Astyanax mexicanus: one gene and its partners. The protein of the gene in region 3 interacts with the protein of the main gene of each other region in a pairwise test. Links are inferred from orthologs where the notes say so. Each region holds a gene or a part of one and is shown on either strand. Other genes may lie near its edges.

Evidence for each region.
Region 1: the proteins of exoc1 (region 3) and sfr1 interact in a two-hybrid assay, tested with the Homo sapiens proteins (2 studies listed by BioGRID and IntAct). The link is inferred for Astyanax mexicanus from reciprocal best matches to the Homo sapiens genes EXOC1 and SFR1.
Region 2: the proteins of exoc1 (region 3) and sybu interact in a two-hybrid assay, tested with the Homo sapiens proteins (2 studies listed by BioGRID and IntAct). The link is inferred for Astyanax mexicanus from reciprocal best matches to the Homo sapiens genes EXOC1 and SYBU.

What each region holds. Positions count from the first base shown.
Region 1 is NC_064414.1:38,354,269-38,361,555, reverse strand, and holds sfr1 (swi5-dependent recombination DNA repair protein 1 homolog), read right to left. Parts: upstream 2,786-7,287; 5' UTR 2,520-2,785; coding exon 2,448-2,519; intron 1,634-2,447; coding exon 1,292-1,633; intron 1,198-1,291; coding exon 1,006-1,197; 3' UTR 603-1,005; downstream 1-602. UniProt on the Homo sapiens protein: Component of the SWI5-SFR1 complex, a complex required for double-strand break repair via homologous recombination. Acts as a transcriptional modulator for ESR1.
Region 2 is NC_064413.1:30,411,780-30,419,322, reverse strand, and holds the start of sybu (syntabulin), read right to left. Parts: upstream 3,103-7,543; 5' UTR 2,878-3,102; intron 1-2,877. Other genes in the region: gdf6a (growth/differentiation factor 6-A), read left to right, coding at 7,463-7,543. UniProt on the Homo sapiens protein: Part of a kinesin motor-adapter complex that is critical for the anterograde axonal transport of active zone components and contributes to activity-dependent presynaptic assembly during neuronal development.
Region 3 is NC_064408.1:63,951,266-63,959,347, forward strand, and holds the start of exoc1 (exocyst complex component 1), read right to left. Parts: upstream 3,145-8,082; 5' UTR 2,958-3,144; intron 1,275-2,957; 5' UTR 1,267-1,274; coding exon 1,143-1,266; intron 990-1,142; coding exon 859-989; intron 285-858; coding exon 125-284; intron 1-124.

The DNA of each region.
Region 1 (7,287 bases), on a different chromosome or scaffold from region 3:
CTGTACCTTTTCTTTCTTTAATGCCTGAGTGAAACATACCAAGAAAATAGAATGTAAGAGCAGTACAGTAACAGTAAAAAAGAAAGATAAACACAGAAACCAAAGTAAATGCTCTAAATAATGTTACTCTAATCAGGGCTGCAGACCTTTTATGACCTTATCATCAGAAGAAAACTGAGAACATTAAAAAGCTGATAAAGCAGGTGAAAGACAAACTGGACTGAAGAAAGAGAACATAGCTCTTGATCTGCAGCTGGCCAGCGTGGAAAGGACTGTTAAAGAATGAAGCATCTATGAGGCAGTATTTATCAGACTTTAAAATCTACAGCTTTTGAGATGCAGTACAGGTTTAGAATATATTTCACTCTGCACTTTGTAATCATTAAAATTATTCAATATTCATAAAAACAGGCAGAACACATTTGTGTTAAAGTATTTGCAAATCACTTTGTTCGTAAATGAATACTTAATGTGTCGGTCATTTCAAAATCCTTGCAAGAACACACAAAATTTACACCCACTCCTGGCCATGAATAAAGTGTGTGGAGCATCACAAAAGTGACTGCACTTAAATTCAACTTCAACTCCAAACTACATAGAACTCATTTTAAACAAAATGTTGTTTATTCACAGTCACCTTTTTAAGCAAAGACATCAGCTTTAACAAATAATTGCATTTTCAATAGTATTAAACAGGTGAACAAAAAGTGCAAAGTGCAAAAAACTAAGTACAATGACTTAGAGGTTAAACTCTGTTGTCGATGAAGTTTCACAGTAACTTGAAAAACACTTCAATCAAAGTCAGGATGCTGTGACAGTTTTACATGCACTAAGTTCAAAATCAGTTACATTGAATCATCCTTTTCTTCAATGTTAAAATAATACTTCTACCACTTAATGTTCCCAAACCCCTAAATGAAGATTTAAACAGTAAAGGATTGAAAACAGAGATTTATGATGACAAGAACAACAATAACATAGAACAAAAAAAGACCTTAATGAATATTAGCTGTCTGTGAAGTCCTCCGCTGTCCTATCAAAGTGCAGAATACTGTCCTCCAGTCCAAAGTGGTCAATAAGCTGAGAGAGGCTGGCTTTCTGGCGATCTGTAGGTAATTCTGTTTGTAGTTCATACAGCACTGCTTGAGCACACCGCCTCCATTTATCTATCAGACTCTGCAGCTGGGTCAGATCGTTCTAATAAGAGAAAAAATATATCATTCACTACGGACACATTTTTTTTATTATCATGTTTTAACACAAACACAGATATATTCATTATGATATTTACCTTCTTTCTGTACATTCTGACCATATTCAGCCTTCGCAGAGTCTCAGCTTTCTCCTTGACATCTTTCTTTAATTTCTCTTGGAGGTAAAGTAACTCACTTTGAGAGGCCTGAGAAAGGTCAGACCCACATCTCTCCACACAGTCTTTAAAGTCTTTCTTGGTCTCATTTCTGTTCACATCAATCTCAGCCTCATCCTCTGTTGGTCCAGTCTGATCTGCCTCTCCGTTTAAACTGTGTGGTAAGTCATCTTCATCCACTTTAAGCCGTTTGACCACACTCAAAGGGGATGTAAAGGAAGGCCGTGATCTTTTTAACCTGGCTTTCAGGGCAGCACTCATGGGCTAGGAATAAATAGAGAGGCATTCAAACACTGCACCTTAAACCACACATTTTTTTTATTATTGTGGGCACATGTGTGCGAAGGTTAAAATTCTGATGTAACAAATTACACAAAAATGTCAGAATTTGTATTTAAACATTCTGTTCTATAAATTGTCAGAACTAGCTCTATGTAACATTAAACATTTTATTAAAGCATTTAAATTGTTATGATTGTTGGAACAGACCTATATCAGCAAAAATAAATTTTAAAGGAGCTAGTTTTATCTTCAGCACTAACTCTAAAATGGGGGGCCTTGTAAATCAGAAATCAGTCGATTCTAGAAATCAGTGGTGACCTTAGGTAACCTAGCCCTAGAATTATATTATTACGTTATATAATTATATAATTACGTTATAGCAGTGAATTGTTTTGACAATATAGGGACAATACAGCTACAGCTTCAGATTGCAGCCTGTGAGAATAAACGTAAACCATACATTTTTCAACCCAGCAATCCAATTTCCATTTATGTTCTTGATTTGTCTTTAGTTTGTAGTTAATTTATGTCACCTAAACTAAAGAAAACTTTTAAACCTCCAACAAACCTTTAAAGCCCAGTAAGGGTCTGTAAATTAGCTAGCTAACTATTTACACATGATATATCAGTAAATGTCGTTTGAATATCTAATATTTATTAGACCTAATCAAAGACTTAATGTTTTATATGTACTCCTAACTGTACAGTAAGTCACAAACCTATATTGAAGCACAGTCATGAAACAAATGTATGTGTGTATGTAACGTTATATATATATAGTTAAACTGATAACTACCTTGTTTACACTGGATCCACTTGGAACAGACTCCTGATGCTCTGATGAGAGTCTCACCGGTGTTTTATCCATAGCTGTCTGTCTGTCTGTCCGCAGCCAATTCAAAGTAGCAGGGAAACTTTTACAGCTGAAGCTAGTAAACAAGCTTAGCTTAACTAAAGCTGCGCTTTAAGACAGAGCAAGCATTAAGGAAACTCAGCACAGTCGATCTATCTTGTTAAATATGCAAGATCTGCAATTAAACAGCATGATTATTTGGCTATATAACGAACGGTAGCTCTGAAACTCTCAGCTGAAAAACAGCAGTTTACATTCATACTACCGCCTGCTGCCTCCAAATGAATCGTCACTTCCGGGTAACACAAGGGTTTCATGGGAAATGTAGTATATTTCCAAAGCTAAAAACTTGCATTTATCAAAATAGCACGTTTATATAAAGATCTCCTGTCTTTAATATATAGTTAATTGTGAAACGCATTTAATATGAGAATATAACTAGTCGTATAACTATAGTAAAAAGGAACTAGAAAGGTTTATTTATAAATAGTAAAGAAATAAGTATGCAGAAAAAGTGAGAAAAAAAAACCATTTATATATTCTTATTGCCTACAGTGTTACAGTACAACTACAGTTTCCATGCTTTCTCCTTGACATCTTTCTTTAATTTCTTTTAAAGGTGAAGTAACTAAATCTGAGAGAGGTGAGACCCACATCTTTCCATACAGTCACATACATTCCATGTGCCTCTTGGACTCATTTCTGTTCACATCAATCTCACATCATTCTGGAAAATCGTCTTCGTCCTCTTTAAGCCGTTAACCTTCTATTTGCCTATAATGTTAAATATTTGAACTCCCCTAAATTGCCTTTGTATTTTAGCTGCTTTGAAATTCACATAACGTTATTTGGTGAAACAGATAATTGCAGTATTTATACGAAAGTAATGGTTTAAACAGTCACATTTTTTACACTGTGGGTAGATAGTTGAACAGAATTCATTGTGTTTCAAGCAGCTTTTAGTTTAAAAGTAAAGGGAAAAAATGTAAGGGAAAAAGTTGGAGATATAAGGTACTTTTTTGGTAAGATTGATTTGATATAATTTAGGACCAGAGACCAGTAAAAAAGATGGACGCTGTGTCTCCGTTCCCATTCACTCAATGAAAATGAAGAAAAAATCTTCCACCATGTTGGCGATCCTGACACCCCAGTCTGCACAGTAGAGACCAGAGGAAGGAGAAAGACTGTGGAGAGACAGCCTACTAATTTGAATAACCCCGCCCCTGAGGGCTGCCTCGCGGTCACAGACTGCAGAGCGGAGCTGACGATCTATTACTGGTCCCACCCATAACCAGCCCTTTTACAATAACCACACCTTTTTTGAACAGAGCTGAATAACGTTTTAAAAACGAATTCTTTGGGGATATAAAAAATTGACAATATAAGCAGAGGTTACACTAGCTGTTGCATTTAATTAATGGAGGTAGAATTACAGTATATTAGAAAAATGTGTGATTGAAAGTTGTCTATTTTGCCATTGAAACCTATGGGGATGGGTGGGGTTACACTGCTTTCTGAAACCGAACAGCAGGGGGCGCCCGACCTGTGGTGGCTTCAGTTTTGCGAGACGATGCTCTGTCCAGCTATATACAGTCTATGTTTAGGACATATAGATGATAATACAGTCTGTATTAGATTATATTTTTTTACAGTAATGAGTGGTGATAATGGTGAGTTTTACATATAATTGTTATAAGGAAAATTAGGCATGTCAGCAAGAGGAGGACGGTCAGTGTGCAGGTAAGACCTACTAACAAGAAGTAAGTTAGAAAGAATATCTGGCTGGACTGGATTCCCTTTACACACTGAAAAAATACTTAATTGTCACTGGATCAATTACACTCTGAGCTGATCTATTTGGCCCCAGTGAGTTAGCACAGGTTTTTATAACAATTGTATATCATGCCCACAGGAAATGGGCAAGAAAATGGTGGTTAAAAGTAAGTCATAAATTTCATGTAGCTACAGAAAGAGAGAGTACGCCCTCCTTTTTACTGTACCACTCTTTCTTTTACAAGACCAAATGCTTGCCTTACGTGCGTTACCTATTTAATCAGAAGATACAGTTATTTAATTATTATAGTGCTGCTCCTTCTGCTTTTGCCTTCATCCACAGAATGTTGTGGAGATCAAAAAGTCAGCATGTCCCGGCTGGTGTTCAAAATGTTTACTGCTTGGAGTTCTGTATTGCTTATGGTTTCACCCAAAGCTAGAATTAGAGCCACAAGCTGCTTTCTCATAAAACAGCATAATCATCCCTGCTTGGTGGGGAGAAGTTCCAGTTGCAAAAAAGATAGGTGGAGTTTGGATTTTGGCTCACTGGGTTTTTCCAGTGATGATTACTATATAATGTGGTGTGACTAGGTCCTCATTATAGACTGTTTATCACAACCCACAGTTGTACTGTTCATGTATTTAATTAAGCACATTAAGTAAACATTGTCAGTGCAGGCTAGAAAAAGTAAGTGAACTCTTCAGCTTGATGACTTAATTAATCTAAAGATAATATTTAGCATCAATCAGATGTTGATTAGTTTTGCACAACATTGAGCGGGTACACCAGCTTCATCATGTATAGAAAGTTGTTTGCATCTAGGCATTGTTCACCTTTTTTGAGAAGAACATATTTTTCAGTATCAAAGCTTTGTTTTTCTTTATTAAATAAACAAAACACTTGTATAACCCACACTTTTATTTAAAACACTTTGGCAAATTAGCTATCCTTAAAAGCATTAACACAGAGGTGGGCTTCCTTTTTCTAGTCTGTGGACATTAAATTAATGTCCTTATTAAAAGACATGAACAGCACAAATGTATGTGTGTGTTTTAGTGTTTATTGTTTGCCTATTATTGCACCTGAGATCATTTTATTACTAATTTAAAATGATCAGTTAAGTAATAATCAGTGCAGGAATCTGCCAAATCAAATTCACAAAATCACATTGCTTGGAAAATATTTAGACCAGGAAGCAGTTTCCATTAATCAGAAAATAATGTTAATTAATTGATAATCCCTTCCACCTGGTTGTGAATGGAGCTTTAATGCCTAGACATTCAGGACAAGAGAATTGCTCTTTGATGACAACAATAACACAGGGCAGGTGTACATATCTACACAATAGCCTAGATAAAGTGTCAACTATAATGTTTCTTACACAATAGAGGCTGGGTGTGTCTTCTGTATCGACATGCCTTTGATGTGGTGAAAAGAGTTTTAGGGAGATTGCAGTTGTTCTGAAGAGAAAGTGTATCATACTGTAGACCTATGTGTTTTCTGCACACCAATGAGCTTAATAATAATAATATTAATAATTATAATAATAATAAAAGTTGCAACTCCCCTTTTAAAGCATATATTTGTATTCATAATAGACAATAAGTGATCAACATGTACCCACATTCAGCAGCAACATAATTAATATTTTATATATATGTATTCATACTTGCATTTTATATACAATAGATATACTGTATATTGTATATATGGACATACAACAAACACAGAAATGTTGATTTCTGTTTGTTGAAATCTTGTTTACAGGTCTCTGGTAAACCGAAGTTGATGTCATTGGACTGGTCCTTGTGGTTGTTTTAAAAGAACTCTGATGTAAGTAGATCAGCTGGTAATGTGTTAACATTTCCATGACAGTGCATGTTTAGCAGAAATGTAATGGCAATAAAAACAAGCCATGTCAGGTTTGCATGACATTCGTTTACCACACAGTGGACAAGAAGTGTGGCTATTTTCTTACTTCACCATTTTACTTGTGGCTGTGGACTTTTTCTAGCATAACAGGGTGGTGATTAGAGGGTCAGCATATAGTAAGACAGGTACTGTTTCAATCTAGCATTTTAACTTTGGGTTATGATATATAATAATAAGGTTATAATATTTGTAATATTTGTAGGTACAACCCAGCAATAATCAAATAGTACAGTACTGTTTATCTGGCATGCTTAATTAGTAAATTACATTCGGCTGAATCCTTGCATGTCTATACTTACCTTTTTTTTTTTTTTTAGATAATATGAATCTTGCCGATGTCCACTAAACATCCACCAAACGTTGTCATTTTGGTGATACAAAATTTTGTCCAACAGTGAAGATATAGATAGGGTCTCCAGGGGTGAACTCCCAATTATGTTGTTTTTTTTTTAGTTAGAATAGGGAGATTATCTTAAAATAAGCTCCCCCTTCAGTGGCATAACAACCTTCTTACATTTGTTTTATTTCCAAGAGACTGATAACACATTCTGCATTTTCAATAATTAATATTATTAATTTCACTTCTCATCTACTTCTCATTTTTCTGTGTTAATAGGGGCCAAAAGGAACAGTATTCTAATAATAACTTTTTAAACCAAGCATCCTGTTGAAAATGTTCTGCCTTTCTGCTACTGTTCCTGCATTCACACATGCTCAGGAGATTCCACTGCTGTTAGCTGTACTCTGTGAATCAGCCTCAAGTGATGGCACATGTTTGAAGTCAACAACTTTGTATAGCAACCAACCCACCAGAGTTGGCCTTCGTGGAGCCCTGGCTGTTCTGATGGCTGTTCTGTGGGGAGCAGAGGTGGAGTCCAGGCTGAACGTGAGTCATGTGTATTGTGTGTCTGGAAGGTGTGGTTAGCTGGGCAGCAGGACAGAGCTGAGCACGAGGGGAAAAGTATTTGGCTCTACAGGCCAACATTGGCTTTGTAGCTCAGGAAAGACTTTCGTTCACATGGAAACCAGTACCATCGTCATAACCAATCATTTGTGCTGCTCCTTTCAGAGATGGTG
Region 2 (7,543 bases), on a different chromosome or scaffold from region 3:
TTTGCTCTTTCTGAGGTTTTATTTAATTGTGCAAAACAATGGAATGAGCAATGAGTGCTGTACTCTCATTAATAGTTGATATTTAATATTCATTGCCTGTTTTTCACAGTTTTTCACAGTGAACTACAGTTGATTCTATAACCAGAACTAAACAAGTACAGGTTACATTTTCTATGACTCATGTCTTCTTATGTAACACACTTGAGCAAGTAGAGCACATTTATTTATTAATAATTCATTTTAAATTTCAAATCAACTTTACATAATTTGCAGATTAGCTGATGAATAGCAAGATACAGAGAATATCATGCTGATATGGAAACATTTTACCCATCCCATTTGTTTTTTAGACAGTCATGAATGCATTGCATACAGTATCCAGATGATAAAAATTGTTTTACTTGCTAATTTCTGAATTTAATGAAGTGGTGAATTTGTCTTATGCTTTTCACATTTTATAGTCTTACTAGTGGGAACAACAAAACACATAAACAATCCTTTTAACTCTTTATCTACTGATGCCTTTTTTGCTTGTTTTACCAATCATTTTCTGTGCTTTTTTTTCCCAAAGTACTTGTTTTTTTACAGTTTCAGCTTTCATTTTCTTCATTTCTTTGTCTGCATTAGTAAAAAAAAAAGGAGGATTAACATTTGACATTTATTTGTTCGCTACATACAACATTAATGTAGCTATTAGACTACTTCAGTATGCTTCAGCATATGGCACAGAATCATGATGCAAGTTAGAGATTATTAGGTTCTGGACCTTGGCGTGAGACCTTTTTGGATTTTAATCAAATAACCCTCTCCTGTTGCATCGACCAAGAACCCATTACATTTACATTTAAGCATTTGGCTGATCCTCCTATCTGGAGCAGGTAGGCAAATGTTGCATTCAGAGGCTTGCCCAATGACTTTTATTGGTGTTAAGTGGTGTGAACTTTCCTGAATGGGAAATCAAACCTTAATTATAAAGAAGACAGTGTTGTTATCCACTACACTACGCAACCCACAGTGGACCTATCCTGTTTTGTCATCTGTTTGCTTGTTTTTTTTCCATTTTCTCCCCAATTTACACAGCCAATAACCCAACCCACTCATTAGGACCCCAACATCAGGAAAGTGAAGACTAACGCATGCCTTCTCCGATACATCTGAAGTCAGCCACCGCTTCTTTTCGAACTGCTGCTGATGCAGCATTGCTGAGTAGCATCTCAGCACGCTCGGAGGAAAGTGCAGCATCTCGGTTCAGATATATCAGCTCACAGATGCCCTGTGCTGATCTACATCACCCATAGGAGTGATGAGGGGAAAGAATGCCTTTTATCGTCCCTGAAAGAGTAAGGCCAATTGTGCTCTCTCAGGGCTCCAGCAGCTAATAGCAAGCTACATAAACAGGATTCGAACAATCTCCCGACCGGCAATCTCCCAATCATAGTGGCAGCGCTCAGCCCGCTGAACCACTGGACCACTTGAAGCCACCTCTTTGCTTTTATTGAGTATTGATGCAACAATGTATGTCGACTATTCAACACCAACTGCAACAGTCAACAGTCTATAGATGATTAACAATCCATCAGTTCTAGTTTTTCTAGTTCTTGGCTCATGTCTAGAACTTGGTCATGTGTTCTGGATTAAGTACTTGGCAGAGCACCACAGACAAACTGACGAATGAATGTTAGTCATGCTATAATGATGTACTCTCATTTATATTTCATATTTATTGCTTGAGAGTTCTTGAGAGTCTTCTGTATTTTTTATAATCACAGTAGACTGCAGATCTTTTGATGATTCTATGATTTTATGATTGTCTTCTTATGTAATGCACTTTAAATTAAACTCAACAACATTTTAACCCATCCCCGTTGTAGCCAAAAGGTATATTCGATATTCTGCATCACTGAACTAATAAGCAGTACATTTTTTTATTATATATTTTCATTTAAAAGACAGACAGTTTTGGAACATCGCGTTCTTGACACATATTCAGTTTATTTTTATAATCTTTACTGGTGCAAAAAACATTGGTGCAAAAAATGATTTTCACTGCAAGATACTCTTTTGTACCTCTATATTAGGGTACAGCCCCAGCGACAAACTTTGTACTCTTTTAAGTAGAAATCTGTTCATATTTCTTTAGTATATACTGAATTTATTTTTGTTTGTTTTATTAAACATTTTCTAGCTCTGCTAATGAATCATGAACGAGCAAAATATGGTTATTTGTTGATACAGCCATTTATTTTGACAGGTGCAACTTTGTTTGTCTTAATCTTCTTTGTTCAGATTAAACAACAGGAGGATCGTCACATCCCAATAGTCAAAAAACGTGCACCCGTATTATTATTATCATTATTATTACTATTATTATTTTATTTTTTTATGTTGTCTTCTATTGTTGACACTTGCAGAACTAACTGACACCATTCCAGCGCATCAGCTTATAATACAACAATGGTATCTGTCTACCATCTGTGATAAACAACCAACGTGTCTTGGTCTCACGTGGTCTGGAACACTGTGTACACTTCGAGTGCTGTCCAGGACCCCTGGTGCTGAAGCTGTGGTAACTGCGTGGCAACCTGCCCCACCTAATACTGTGTTTTTACCAGCTCAAATCATACCCATGATCGTAACCATGAACATTTCGGAATTTCGGAATTGCGCAAATGACGATGTCGGATAAGCATGATTATTCTGTCTTATTTTTCTTTCATGCGTCATACTCTTCTGTAACATCGCTTTCTGTTATTTCCTCAATCTCAGAGTTCTAAAGCTTTTAAGTTTCAATACAAAAATGCTCAGACATCCCATACACACCATGACAAGTGTCCAAACAGCAGTAAATGTTATGACGCAGTAAGGAAAAGCACTTGCCTGAGCTGTAGTTGTAGGATGAGGATGGGTCGGTGTGGTGAAGATGCGCAGCTTCCCTCAGTCTGATTCCCTCAGTCAATCTCCAGCTTTGTTGTTTGATGGATTATGTATCGTCCTGCCCCTCTTACATATGAGATGGTCTACGAGATGATCTCTCCTGCTCTGGTTGGTCAGACCAGGAGATCGCACTTTCTCTGGGAGCTGCGCTGCTTCAGGGCTGAATATGACTGAGGTGCCAAGTGTGTTATGTAACACAACAAGGCTTAACTCTTACTGTACCAGCAGCATCAGCAGGAGCAGCAGGCTCAGGTTCAGAGGCTTGGTGCTAAAGATGGAGCAGCTTAGCTCAAAAGCTTGGCTGTGTCTCAGCTCTCCATGGTGCTGAAGTTCTATACAGTAAGTAGCTAATTACTGTATATGGCTCAGATTTAAATAGTGCTTATAGTTTTATGGATGTGAGAAAAAATAGACTATACGTCCTTGTTCACCACACAAATACACACTGTGCAAATGCACCCTCAAAAAGCTACACCATGATCCATCAGGTCCAACCTTGTCCCTTAAAGCGTGGAGAAAAACAACTGCAGGAAAGGAAATTAATATTAGTATAAATATTCCCCTTATCTAAAAAAAGACTGGGGTGGTTTGCCGCCATCTCAGGGGCAACAATGGTAACACCCCATTATCCTAATTTTGCACCGTTTATTCTGAAACTGTAGACAACAATTGCTAAGCTGTTGTTTTGTTTCTTTTGTCTTTGTTTATGATTTTTTTGTTTATTATTATTCACCCAAACAAGACGTCCTATCATCACGACAGCAATCATCACCAACAAGTAGCATTGACTATTGTATGCTGACAAACTGTAGCAAGCTGTAATCTAAAATCATTTGATAAGACTATAAAATACGAACCTACGTTGCGAACTGAGAGACTGTTTCTCCAGTAAAAAAAAAAAAGGAGACAACGCCATCTGGTGGTAAATTCCAAAAATGAAGTGAAAATGAACAGACTCCTGAAAGATGAATAGACGGATATACACGTGACAATCTTCTGCCAGCCAAATGATGGGTTCTGTTCTTGCACGTGTACGCCACACACCCATAAGTGTGCAGACTCCCTTTTGACGCTATTTAGTCAATTCAGGCATGCTTTGAGGTACCTCGGAGCCTAGTAGCAAACTACACAGTCAATTTGCCAGTGTTAAATCAACACATTTTGCCAGTTGGATTTCAAGCGAGAGGAGTAAGAGGGTACTCTTTAAAAATACCCTCTAATTACAGTACATGCTGTAGGTGGCATTGAGGCATTTAAGTGTTGGAAGACCAGGTGGAAATGTTACTTAATATTTGTCATACCTTAACCTGTGTATTGTGTTTTTTTTTCTTTTTTGGTTCTATGTGCTCCAGTCCTCTCTTTTCCTGTCTTGTATTGCCAGCCATGTGCTTTTTTAAGGACATGGCCTTGTTTTGTTATTGTCCTGTCTCTGCCTAGCTACTTTCTATCTATCAGTGTTGTCACCTTATGTCTTGTTTGTAATCCCGCCCACTCGTTTACCAATCCCAGATGTTCCTCACCCTCCTTGTGTATTTGAGCCCCTCTGTCTCAGTGTTTGGTGCATAGGCCTATGTGTTACTAAAATGCTGTGTCTCGGTCTATGTGCGACTGATTTTGTTTCTTATTTTCTTAGTTAACCTTATTTAAATTACATTTAATTTGTTAATTCTTCTTAGTTTTGTTTTGTTTAGTTTTGAAAATATTAAGGCCTTGGGTACACTGGCAGACACAATGAGAGGGCAAAAGAGATAATGCTGCTTGGTGCCCCATGGTTACAAAAAAGCTCCCTATTGGGTGCTGTTCTTGTGTAAAAAAAAAAAAAAAAGATTGCATGCCTGGAGCCTATCCCAGCCGGCACTGGGCAGAGGGCAATATACACCCTGGACAGGCCACCAATCCATTGCAGTAGATGCTGTTCCTGCATCAACAAACTCCTTTTTAATGGTTGTTAGGAGTTATCTTGTGAGTGAAGTTGAACACTGGCCAGATCCTCATGAAAAGCTGACGTAATTGTAAAAGTTTAGGTGAGGCCTGATAGTGTGTGCCAAATGGATGGGACATTTGTGAAAGCATTTAACTTTACTTGGTCCACCATATCATGGGTGTACCAAAATCTGAAATAGAAAATTGACTTTTTCTATATTGACTCTATCAAGAATTTATGAATAGTCTGACCAGAAAATAATTGTTCCCCCCTTTGGATCCTCTTAAAGCCACTATCTGTAACTAGGGGTTCTATGACCTTTATTTAATATTTGGTCTAATTCTCAATGGTGCTACCATATTTTTGCAATGCTGATTTGAAGTGCTACAAAAATACATTTGAATTAATTTAAGAAGAGACAATTGTGGTTTCAAAAATAACCATGATTGTAGAAAAGAACCTTTAACTTTGTAAAAAAAAAAGCCTTTACATCAAGAAAAAAAGTAATTCTTTATTTTTTTTAGATTGTAGTGTAGTGAGAGTACAGAAAGCAATGCTAAAGCTTTCTTTCTCTCATCGAACAACATAATCAAGTTAAGATTTAATTTAACAAAAATAAATAGCAATCAGTTAACTATCAAAGTTCATACAAAGACTGATAGTTGGTGCCAGATGGATTGGACATTCTATTTCTGAAAATGTATGGGCATTTAACATTCCTCGATTTCTCCATACTTGTGTATCAGGAATACGTCATAGAAGGTATTACCACTCACAATTGACAGCGCAGCGGCTGATAATCATCATAACCGTCAGCATCTGTCTTGTCTAAAAGTGCCCCTTCTAACTGACAAGCGTTAAATCACATCCACATTCAATACAGAAGACCCCAAACATAATCTACAGATCAGTGCAGAGTTCTTTTTTGCTTCTATGCGACATTAAGTGTATAAAGAGCTTTCAATTTCTTTTTTTCAGAGAATTGTTAAGATTGTTGACCCTAGGCATCAACAACACACCCTATTAATTTCCAGGTTTAAAAATTATTGTCCCAAAGTTCCACAGCCTATTTAAAATAAATTATTACTTTTCCATGTTAGACATACAATTCAGAGAAAACGCCTTTTACTAAATATTTCCTTAAGTTAAGGCAAAATTACAGCCTGGTAAAGTTATTTTCCTAACGAACTTAAAGAATCTAGATACGTTATTTAAGAAACATAAGACGTGTTAACAAAGTGTATCCGATAGGGGGCAGCAAAATTACAGAAAACAGAACAGTGCTCATCCACTTTTAAGGCCTTTGCGCAGATAGATGCCCAACACTGCCAACAAAAGGTTTAAAAAAAAAAAAACCTTGGGAAATAATTATCTTGTAACTCATAAATGTTATCGTCTGCCGGTTTGTATGGTCGATACACACTCGCGCCCAGTCTCTTATAGACCTAATTTATTTAAAAAACAAATAGTTAGACTTAAGCATATTTCAAATACTAGAAGAATACCAACTGTTTTCTAACTTTTTATATAAAAATTCACACAGAAACTTTTGCTGTACAATAAATAACAGGTACTCTGTTACTCTTTCTTTTTATATTATTAGGCATCTTGTTGTTTAGCTGATATTTTATATAGGCTATTATATCTACTATTTATTATTTTTTTTATGTGATCCGACCCGATTTGCCGTAAATTACTGTGATACGTATGTGGCATAGTTTGAAGTTGGAACTTTTTACTTTTACTGTAACTTTTTTAAATAACATGACATATTGAATGAATATATAAATATATATTTTTAGTACACCCTTTAATTTTATTCTATAGATATGCCCCCGCTGTAACTTAAGTCTGTACAGGTGTAACTGTAAAAAGCTCACTGTATTTTTTTCTGTAACTTTTTTTTAAAAGTTCAGTCCACAGTGCAGCAGACTCCACTCAGACATGCACAGTAAAACTGGACATATGGACATTATGCACAGTCAGTTGTGCAGGTCTGTGTGTGAGGATGTGAGGATGTGTGAGCTGCAGCCGGTGCAGCAGATCAGTGAGTGACTGTTAACCCCTGTCAGCACTTTAGTCTTGGCCTAAAATCATGCTCCAGCCTCCCCTCCCTCACCGGCCCGGACGTCCGGGGTGTCTGATTCTCCCAGTGGACGCATTCGCAAGTGTGGAGAGAGAAAATGAGAGAGAGAGAGAGAGAGAGAGAGAGAGAGAGAGAGAGCAGAGTTCTCCGGGATGTGCGTATCTGTGTAGTCTGGGTGTGTGGTGGTGGTGGTGTTGGTGATGGTGGGTGGGGGGTGGTGTTGCGTCTCAGTCCCAGTCCAGGCAGCTCTTTCCTATACAACACAGAAGGGGGGCGTGTCCCAGTGCCCCTGCTCCCTCTCTCTCTCTTTCTCTCTCTATCATTCTCTCTCTCCTATAGAGGCAACGCGAGCGCACCGTACTGCTGATACGCAGCAGTTCTCGCACGCGGCCCGTATGCGTGTATGTGTGTGTAGTGTGTGTGTATAGTGCCTGTGTTTGTGTGTGTGAGTGTGTGTGCGTTTGCGCTTTGGAGTCACCGTGGAGAACTCTGGGGTGCAGCGCTGGCACCACATCGCCATGGACGCCGTGCGAGCAGCGGCTCTCTGTGCGCTCTTCTTCTTCCTCTGGAGTTTACCGTGCTGCCAACCGGCCGCCATC
Region 3 (8,082 bases):
TCTATTAGTAACAATGCAAAATCTTTAATAACATGTTGTTACTACAGTACATGCATCATGCTAGTTATAACACATCTCCACCATTAAACCTCAGCGCTCAATTAGAAACAATAGTAGGTTCTACCTTCCAGCAGCTGGGAGCTGACATTTACAAACTCCACTTTCTTTCTCAGGTAGCGCTGATTCAGCTTCCAGATGCAGGAAATAAAGGAGTTCTTCTCTGCTGTGCTGCTGGCCACCCAGCGATACACTTTCTCAAAGTGTAGGTCAAACTCTGGATTCTCCTGCAGGAAGTCAAAGTAGACGATAAGACAGAGAGAATGGCTGGAAACAGAATCTCTGAATCTTCTGAGGGTGCAACGTGGAAATTCTCAATAATCCTTGGATCAAAACGAACACGTGAAACACACTTGCACATTTGTAGTTGTTCCATCACAGACAGTCTATCTTAAATTAAACTATTTGTTCTTTCGTGTCTGAATTGGCATTTTCAATACAAATTTTATTAACAAACTTGAATACTAGTAAGAAACAACAGTAAAACAGATTAGTCAATACCCAAACAATAAGAATGATTCTCAAATTATTTATTTCTTATTGTATATACAAATGGATGCAACAAAGAACAACAGCCAGATTACATTTTTTTTATATAAAAATTATGTCAATGTTAAAAACACGATTCTTGCAGGCAAGATCATTTTTATGACGATGTGAAAATGCAATCATTTTTTTTTTTTTACTTAATTTAAGATGTTATTTATCCAATTCGTCCTCTTATTATTACTATTATGTGATACTATTTTGTGTTATGTTAATATTACAGAATGTGAGCTTGTTTTAAATATAAAATCTCACCTTGTTAGCATCTTTGGCATCAACCTCAGCCAGGTCACGAAGCTCCCAGGCCATCTGTCTCTTGTAAAAGTCTCCTTTGTCTGACTTCTTTACTTTTACCACCCTGACCTGCACTGGGCGCTCCGTTGTCACTGGAACAGAAAAAATTAGTAAATTTGCAGTGACATTCCCAGTTACAAACTGCCATGAATAAATATTAGCAGTCTCTGAATTCTACAACATTACATAATAATCTAATATCAGACGCGTTTTAAACTGGTGTCTCACTACGCATCATTCTTTACCTGTGGCACACAGGAAACAATTCTTCTTCTTCTTCCCGGCCTTACAGACGTTGACGATGCTAAGCAGGCGCTCATCGTTGGGAGTAAAGATGTCCCTCTGGAGAGCATGCTTTATGGCAGTCATTTTGCCTCCTAGAAAAGGTACATTCTGATTACAAACTCAAAAAGGCATGAGTATAAGGCTGGTTTGGAAGAAAAGAGATTCTAAAGCACTTCCTAAAGTAGACGAACAAAACTATAAGATTATTATATGTCGAAGACTCTAAACTCTGGTGTCACTTCTTAAATTTAAATAGCTGTTCACCAATTTTACATGATTCTATTGTAAAATGTTAAAATACCTTCTTTTAGGTGGTATTGCACAGAAAACACACGCTATACTAATGTTTGAAAATATGACAAATCTATATTTCAATATATTTTTTTAATTTCGGTCGATATCATACAATTCTGATATTGATATGAACAGTAAAAAAAGCCACCACCCCTGGTGTATGTAATTTCACAGTGAGAGCTGGGTGATATAGTAAAAGTATATATATATATATATATATATATATATATATATATATATATATATATATATATATATATATATATATATATTGACATATATATTGTCTATATTACAATCATGAAATTACCTTACGATTTATTGTCCCAGAAATTATTGCGATATATGATATTTATGTAATTTTAGGACTATTAAATGCCACTGACATAATGAAAACAGAATAGCATAAAAAAGTAATTATACACTTTTTAAAGGAAAAAAAAAAACAATTTATTTTAATTAGTCTGGGAATGATATACTTATTTCTTCACCTACTTTAGTTCACACTGTGTGTATGTTATGGCGTCACAGTTGTTAAAGCATGACTCGCTAAAATACTATTCACTGTTATATGTGTGGACAAACATACAAAAAAACACAATAGACGATATCACGATTATCAAAAATTATTGAGGTTGTGTTAATTTATTATACGATAAATCAATATTGCAATTATTGTGACAAGCCAGAACCAGTAACTTTTAAAATGTCTATTATTAAAACGTTTAAAATAATTATTCATATTGCAACTTTTAAAATAATAAAAAAAAAATCTAAAAAATAATAATAATGCTTATTATTGTTGTCCTTGTGCTATTATTATAGGAAAAAATCTCAATATTCTTTAAATATATGCACGATTCATCATTAAGATATTTAGTTTTTAGACACATTCAGTTTATTTTTTCATTTGTTCATTTGTAAACAGAAAGCACACTTTAACATTAAATGCACTGGTCAGCCGTAACATTATAAACCAATACCCTAACAACACCAATCCTCTATGTTTGTATGAATCATTTGAATAACTAATGTTTTCTTTGTAAAACAGAAAACCAAGAGCCTACTGAATAGCGGATAACTACAGATACTTTAAAAGTGGATCCCTGCTTGGCAGCACACAGGGATGTGTGGTGGAGATGGCAGGTGGATATCTTAGTTTTGACATGTGTCACATTAGACTGATAGCCAGCCAGCCAACCTAGCGTAGCTACCTTAGCTAGCTAAACTAGATTAGCTACAATGCTAACAGATAGCTGAGTTAACTATCTGACATCTTGAGAGCTAACAAGATGTACAAATTCTCTGTCTGCACTGCCCAGTTTAAAGTCATTTCTTAACGCCACACGATTTCCTGACTGTCCGAATGACCCTGAGTTGTTGACTCTGTTTGTTTAAATGAAGCTAACCCAGCTAACACTGAGCTGCAGGACTTCCCCCGGACAGGCCGTGTTTACCCGCTAATAATAATAAGACCTCACCTCAATACAGGGCCGCACAGCCTCCAGCACAGCGAACAACAGCGGTTTATCCTTCACACAACAAACCCCGTCCACATTAACCTATAAAAACAGCGCTAACATTACTGTCTATTTCACGGCCACAGCCCAACCTGCTCCACCATCACAACAACAGCCCTGTTTCCGCTGCGGAGCTCCTTCAGCTGGAGCTCTGACTCCGCTCCCCGGCTCTCTGACTGCAGCGCGGCCTACCGGCCCGGAGCCACTAATAACACTCACATAGACATTATATACATTTACATCATATACATTTACATATATTTACATATATACAGTACAGGGCAAAAGTTTGGACACACCTTCTCACTCAAAGCGATTTCTTTATTTTTTCATGACTATTTACACTGTAGATTCTCACTGAAGGCATCAAAACTATGATAAACACGTGTAGAGTTTTATGTACTTAACAGAAAATGAGCTGGAATCCACAGTCACCGGACCTGAACCCAGTCCAGATGGTTTGGGGTGAGCTGGACCGCAGTGTGAAGACAAAGGGGCAACAAGTGCTAAACACCTCTGGGAACTCCTTAAAGACTGTTGGAAAACCATTTCAGGTGACTACCTCTTGAAGCTCATTGAGAGAATGCCAAGAGTGTGCAAAGCAGTAATCAGAGCAAAGGGTGGCTATTTTAAGGAAACTAGAATATATATATATATATATATGTTATTTTACCATTTTTTGTTAAGTACATAAAACTCCACGTGTTCATTCATAGTTTTGATTCCTTCAGTGAGAATCTTCAATGTAAACAGTCATGAAAATAAAGAAAACGCATTGAAAAAAAAAGGTGTGTCCCAACTTTTGGCCTGTACTGTACATTTCTACATATTTATACATATTTATGTATAAATGTCTATGCTCTCACATATAGCCACTGCTGTGTGAGTCGATATTAAAGGACCAATTTGTGGGACATTCCAGGATTTTGGTACATTTCCTGTCCGACCACTTAAATTTCAAATGTACATATCCAAAATATCTAAATGACTATTTTTTGTGAAAAATGTACTTGTTATAAGACAAACTGTAAAATATGGTGGAAAAATAAGCTCCTTATATATTATTCAAAAGAGTTTGGACCACCTCAAAAAATGGCTGTTTTCTCTTGTCCCACACATTGGGTGACCAACTCCTTTGGCAAATTTAACAATTAAAATAAGCTCTAAATAAATTACTTCCTCTTGTTGATATGTGTCCCACAACATGCGCGCAACCCTGTTACCATAAGGAATTTTACCTGGCAGAGAAAGAGTTAAAAATATTTGTCTACTACCACAAAGGAAGTTACATCACAAGGACATTTTCTGCCCACATGGCAAGACCAAGAGTAAGTGCTCTAACAATTTTCCAAATGTCCAAGTTGTGTGTGTCACTCAGTGAACGCAACCCTGTTACTCATGTTGTAAGACTAATAATGAGTATAGTCAATTTTTTCTTTATATAATTATATAACCATGTTTGTCCTTGATCTTGTATACACAGCTAAATTTTACAGTTAGCATCTGTTCCTGAGGTAAACCACAACTTAATTTAAAAAACTGCTTTGATACCTGAGCTTGACAAATCAAACTTTTTGATAGTCTATTACCTGTGTTTAATAAATATATGACTAAAATGATCAAATTGAAGATCAAATTTTCAGAAGTGACCATCTCTGAAATCCTGGAATGTCCCATGTGTTATATTTTCAGATTTTGCAGGTTAACTAACTAGCTAATGGCTTATATTAACTCACCATCACAATTAAACATTGTGAATACATACATTAGCTAATCAACAACTATGCTTGCATTGTAAAATTCATCATGAGCTTATTTTGCACTTGTTTGTGTAGGAGGGGGTGGGGCACATAGCAGCTCTTACCAGTACTGTAAAATTGAACTGTGGTAGCCATTTTACACACTTGTGGTCATTTAAGCAATAATACACGAGAGGCAGTGCGGCCTGTGGCCTAATGCCTAAAGCAGTGCCAATATTACACGCTATATCACAAACCTCGAGTGTATTATTGCGATTATACCACAGCTCTTTTATGGCTGTTTATTTAAAAAAAAATGTAGTTAAAGAGGATAAGAAAATGCAATCTATTTGGTTATAAAAGCAAGTTAAAATAGTTCCATTGTTGCTCTGTTTGTAGCTGCGCTGTTTGGCTTGTACCAACCGGCTGATAATGGCACTCACAGAACGCCTCGCAGCCAATCACATTGCAGGGTTGGAACTGTGGTTTCTTTTAATAATTATTTAGGCAGTAACTTAATATATATTTTGTTAAACCGGTGGTGTAAAGTGGTGGTAAAAAGTGCAAACATATCATGTCACATCATCAGAAATAGTTAATTTGAGACATACACATTTGCTTCTGTTTTTTACTTGTAATGTTTGTAAATATGTCGCTATCTAAAAAATTTAAACTTGGTATCACTGTCTGTCAGATGTAAAATACAATTAATTTAGACCTACTTTCTCCTTTTCTGTTTCTGGTAGCCGCTCAGATATCATGCCCAAATGGGGCCTGTGTGGGTAACCCAATAGGAAAACAGAAAGTTTGGTCCATGGGTTCCATGTTGGCCCCACATATGGGTATAACGGTTGACCCTATCGAGGTCAGTGATAGGACTAGACGTGGGGTATGCACACCATCCACTGCAGAGTTTCTGTTCAAGAGTGGTAAGTTTCAGTACCAGACAGCTACATTGTTAAAAACTAAAGATACTAAATGTTTTACTTCCAGTCATGTAGTTGTAGAATCATGTTTTTCATAGTTGTCTTTGTTCACACTAGATGTAGATAATGCAAACGATGCAGATGAAGATTCTTTCTGTGGAGGTTGATGTACTGTATATGGACTCTATAATGCCTGAGCATGCTCAGTTAACACAACAGAATTACACACCTGTAAACTTTATATTTGCGAAACATGCAGCTGTAAGTCATTTTTAAAGCAAACTTGTTTTTTAACTTGTGTAGTCTGATCAGAAGACAAACCATGGAAAAGTGAAATATCAAAACATACAGCCGTGTTTCTGTGATGACTCAGGGTCATGACAGTCCAGTGTGGCCTGAGGAGATGACGGGTAGACGTGGCAGCCTGATAAAAGACAAACACTAAAGAGTGTGATGGTGACATTTCACTTTAGCAACACTTCTCACCTACACACAGCTGACTGTGACTCACACAGCATGTTGTATTTTTTTTTTATTATTATTATTATTTATTTATTTTTTTTATAATGTGTTTTTATGTTTTTACCAACCATTTATATTCTGGGTCCCCTCAGTTTCTCTTCTCAAGGGGTGATTATTGTTAGCAGGTCATTACAGTGAAACATCAGTGCTATGATAATTTTTTTTTCTTTTTATAGGGGTATCTCCAGTGTTCCACCAGTGAGACACAGGCAAGACAAGAGAGTTGGTCAAATCCTGTACAGTATCTGGAGGAGTCGGCAATAGCTGTTTGACTGGGACCTTTCTAGACTATTTGTTGTACAACACAATATCTTTTATTAAATGTAGCCCAGTCTTTTTTGAGAGAAAGGTTGTGTAGCTGTTAGAAGTTGTTAGTACGTTAGAAGTTGGAATGCAAAAAACTGAAAAGCCTCAAACAGAGGTACAAGATGAGATTCAGAGAACTGCTCTGGAATAAAAACTTTACTTTTAATTATAAGTATCTTATTTATAGTTTACTTAAAGAAATATGGCTACAGTAGTAATTTCTGCAGTGCACCTGAGTTTCCAGTGGTCCTCCAGTGGGATCAATGTCTCCTTAACAGCCAACAGTCAACACATAATGTGTTGATGACATAGGTTATAAGATGAAATATGGTTGACTCTCTAATTACAACTGTAATCATTTATTAATGTTATTTTTATTTATTTCATGATCTATAAGTACTCAAATAGCTAGTCTGTGATACAGTCCTTTGCTAATAACTCTTGCACTTCAGTCTTTAGTGACTTCAGTATAGAAAAAGATGCATTTTTAAATATTTTGAGTAGTGTCTGTAAAGAATTTGCCTCATTTTGCCTTGGTTTAATCAAGAATAAAACAAGAAAATATTGTGGGGGGTCTTAACATTCGCCACAATCAACTAGTTCTAGTAATGGCCTTGCCTTTCCTGATAACGGACTTGGACTTGTTCTTGCTCTTACTGAGAAAATAAAACCTTCTCGAAATAAAACTGCTGAAGCTGTTGGCATGCTCTCAGAACCGTTACATTATTTAATGTGTTTGGCAGTACTTGGATGGTCAAAATCATAAAACGCTCCAACTTCTAAGCCTGAACTTTGATGGTTTGGAAAAATGTCAGTGCAGATTTTTGAAGTGAAAACTCACCTGTATTTACGTATTTAGCATATATTGTCAGCATACATTTTTGAGACTTTTGAAAAAATGTGAATGTAAAAATATATTGAATGCCAAATGCAAGTCATAATTATTAAAAAAAAAAAAGGTTTAAAAAATGCTCATAGAAGAGAACTTTTATTCAGTAATGAAAATTGCCATTTATGAATTATTTAAAGTGTGTGACAGTAATCAATGCCTGCAGTAAACTTTTCATCCACTAAGAGGAGCTGTCTGCAGTCACTTTGTGAACCTGTGTAGGGGGAATGGTGCTTGTATGTAACATCAAATGATTAAAACCGTGGAAGAGATCTGTAAGAAATGTAAATGTGTAATTCAGATTTAAAGGTACACAATTACATCTTAGATACATGAACAGCCCTTTACCATCACCATCCTTGTCCTTTTACAAGCTGGCCTATTTCTAACATACTCAGAATAGCGTAATTGGTGGTTTTGTCAGTGGACTATTCATATTGTGATTGTAGTTTATATGTTTTGCTGTTATTATGTGGATATTAGTCTTGGTGAGGCCTATGTAACCTTTTGTTGAGATCATTTGTGTAATTAAGTCTAGGATTAGGCTGATATTTTGTCATTAGCTTTTCTGTGGTAAAGGTTATGAAAGCATTTCTCTTGTTCACCTCAGAAGGGTGTATATTTTGTCTGCTGAAGCTCATTAACTTACTTACCTAGGAATCATTTAGGTGACTGAATGTTTTGAATATGCTGTATTCTGATAT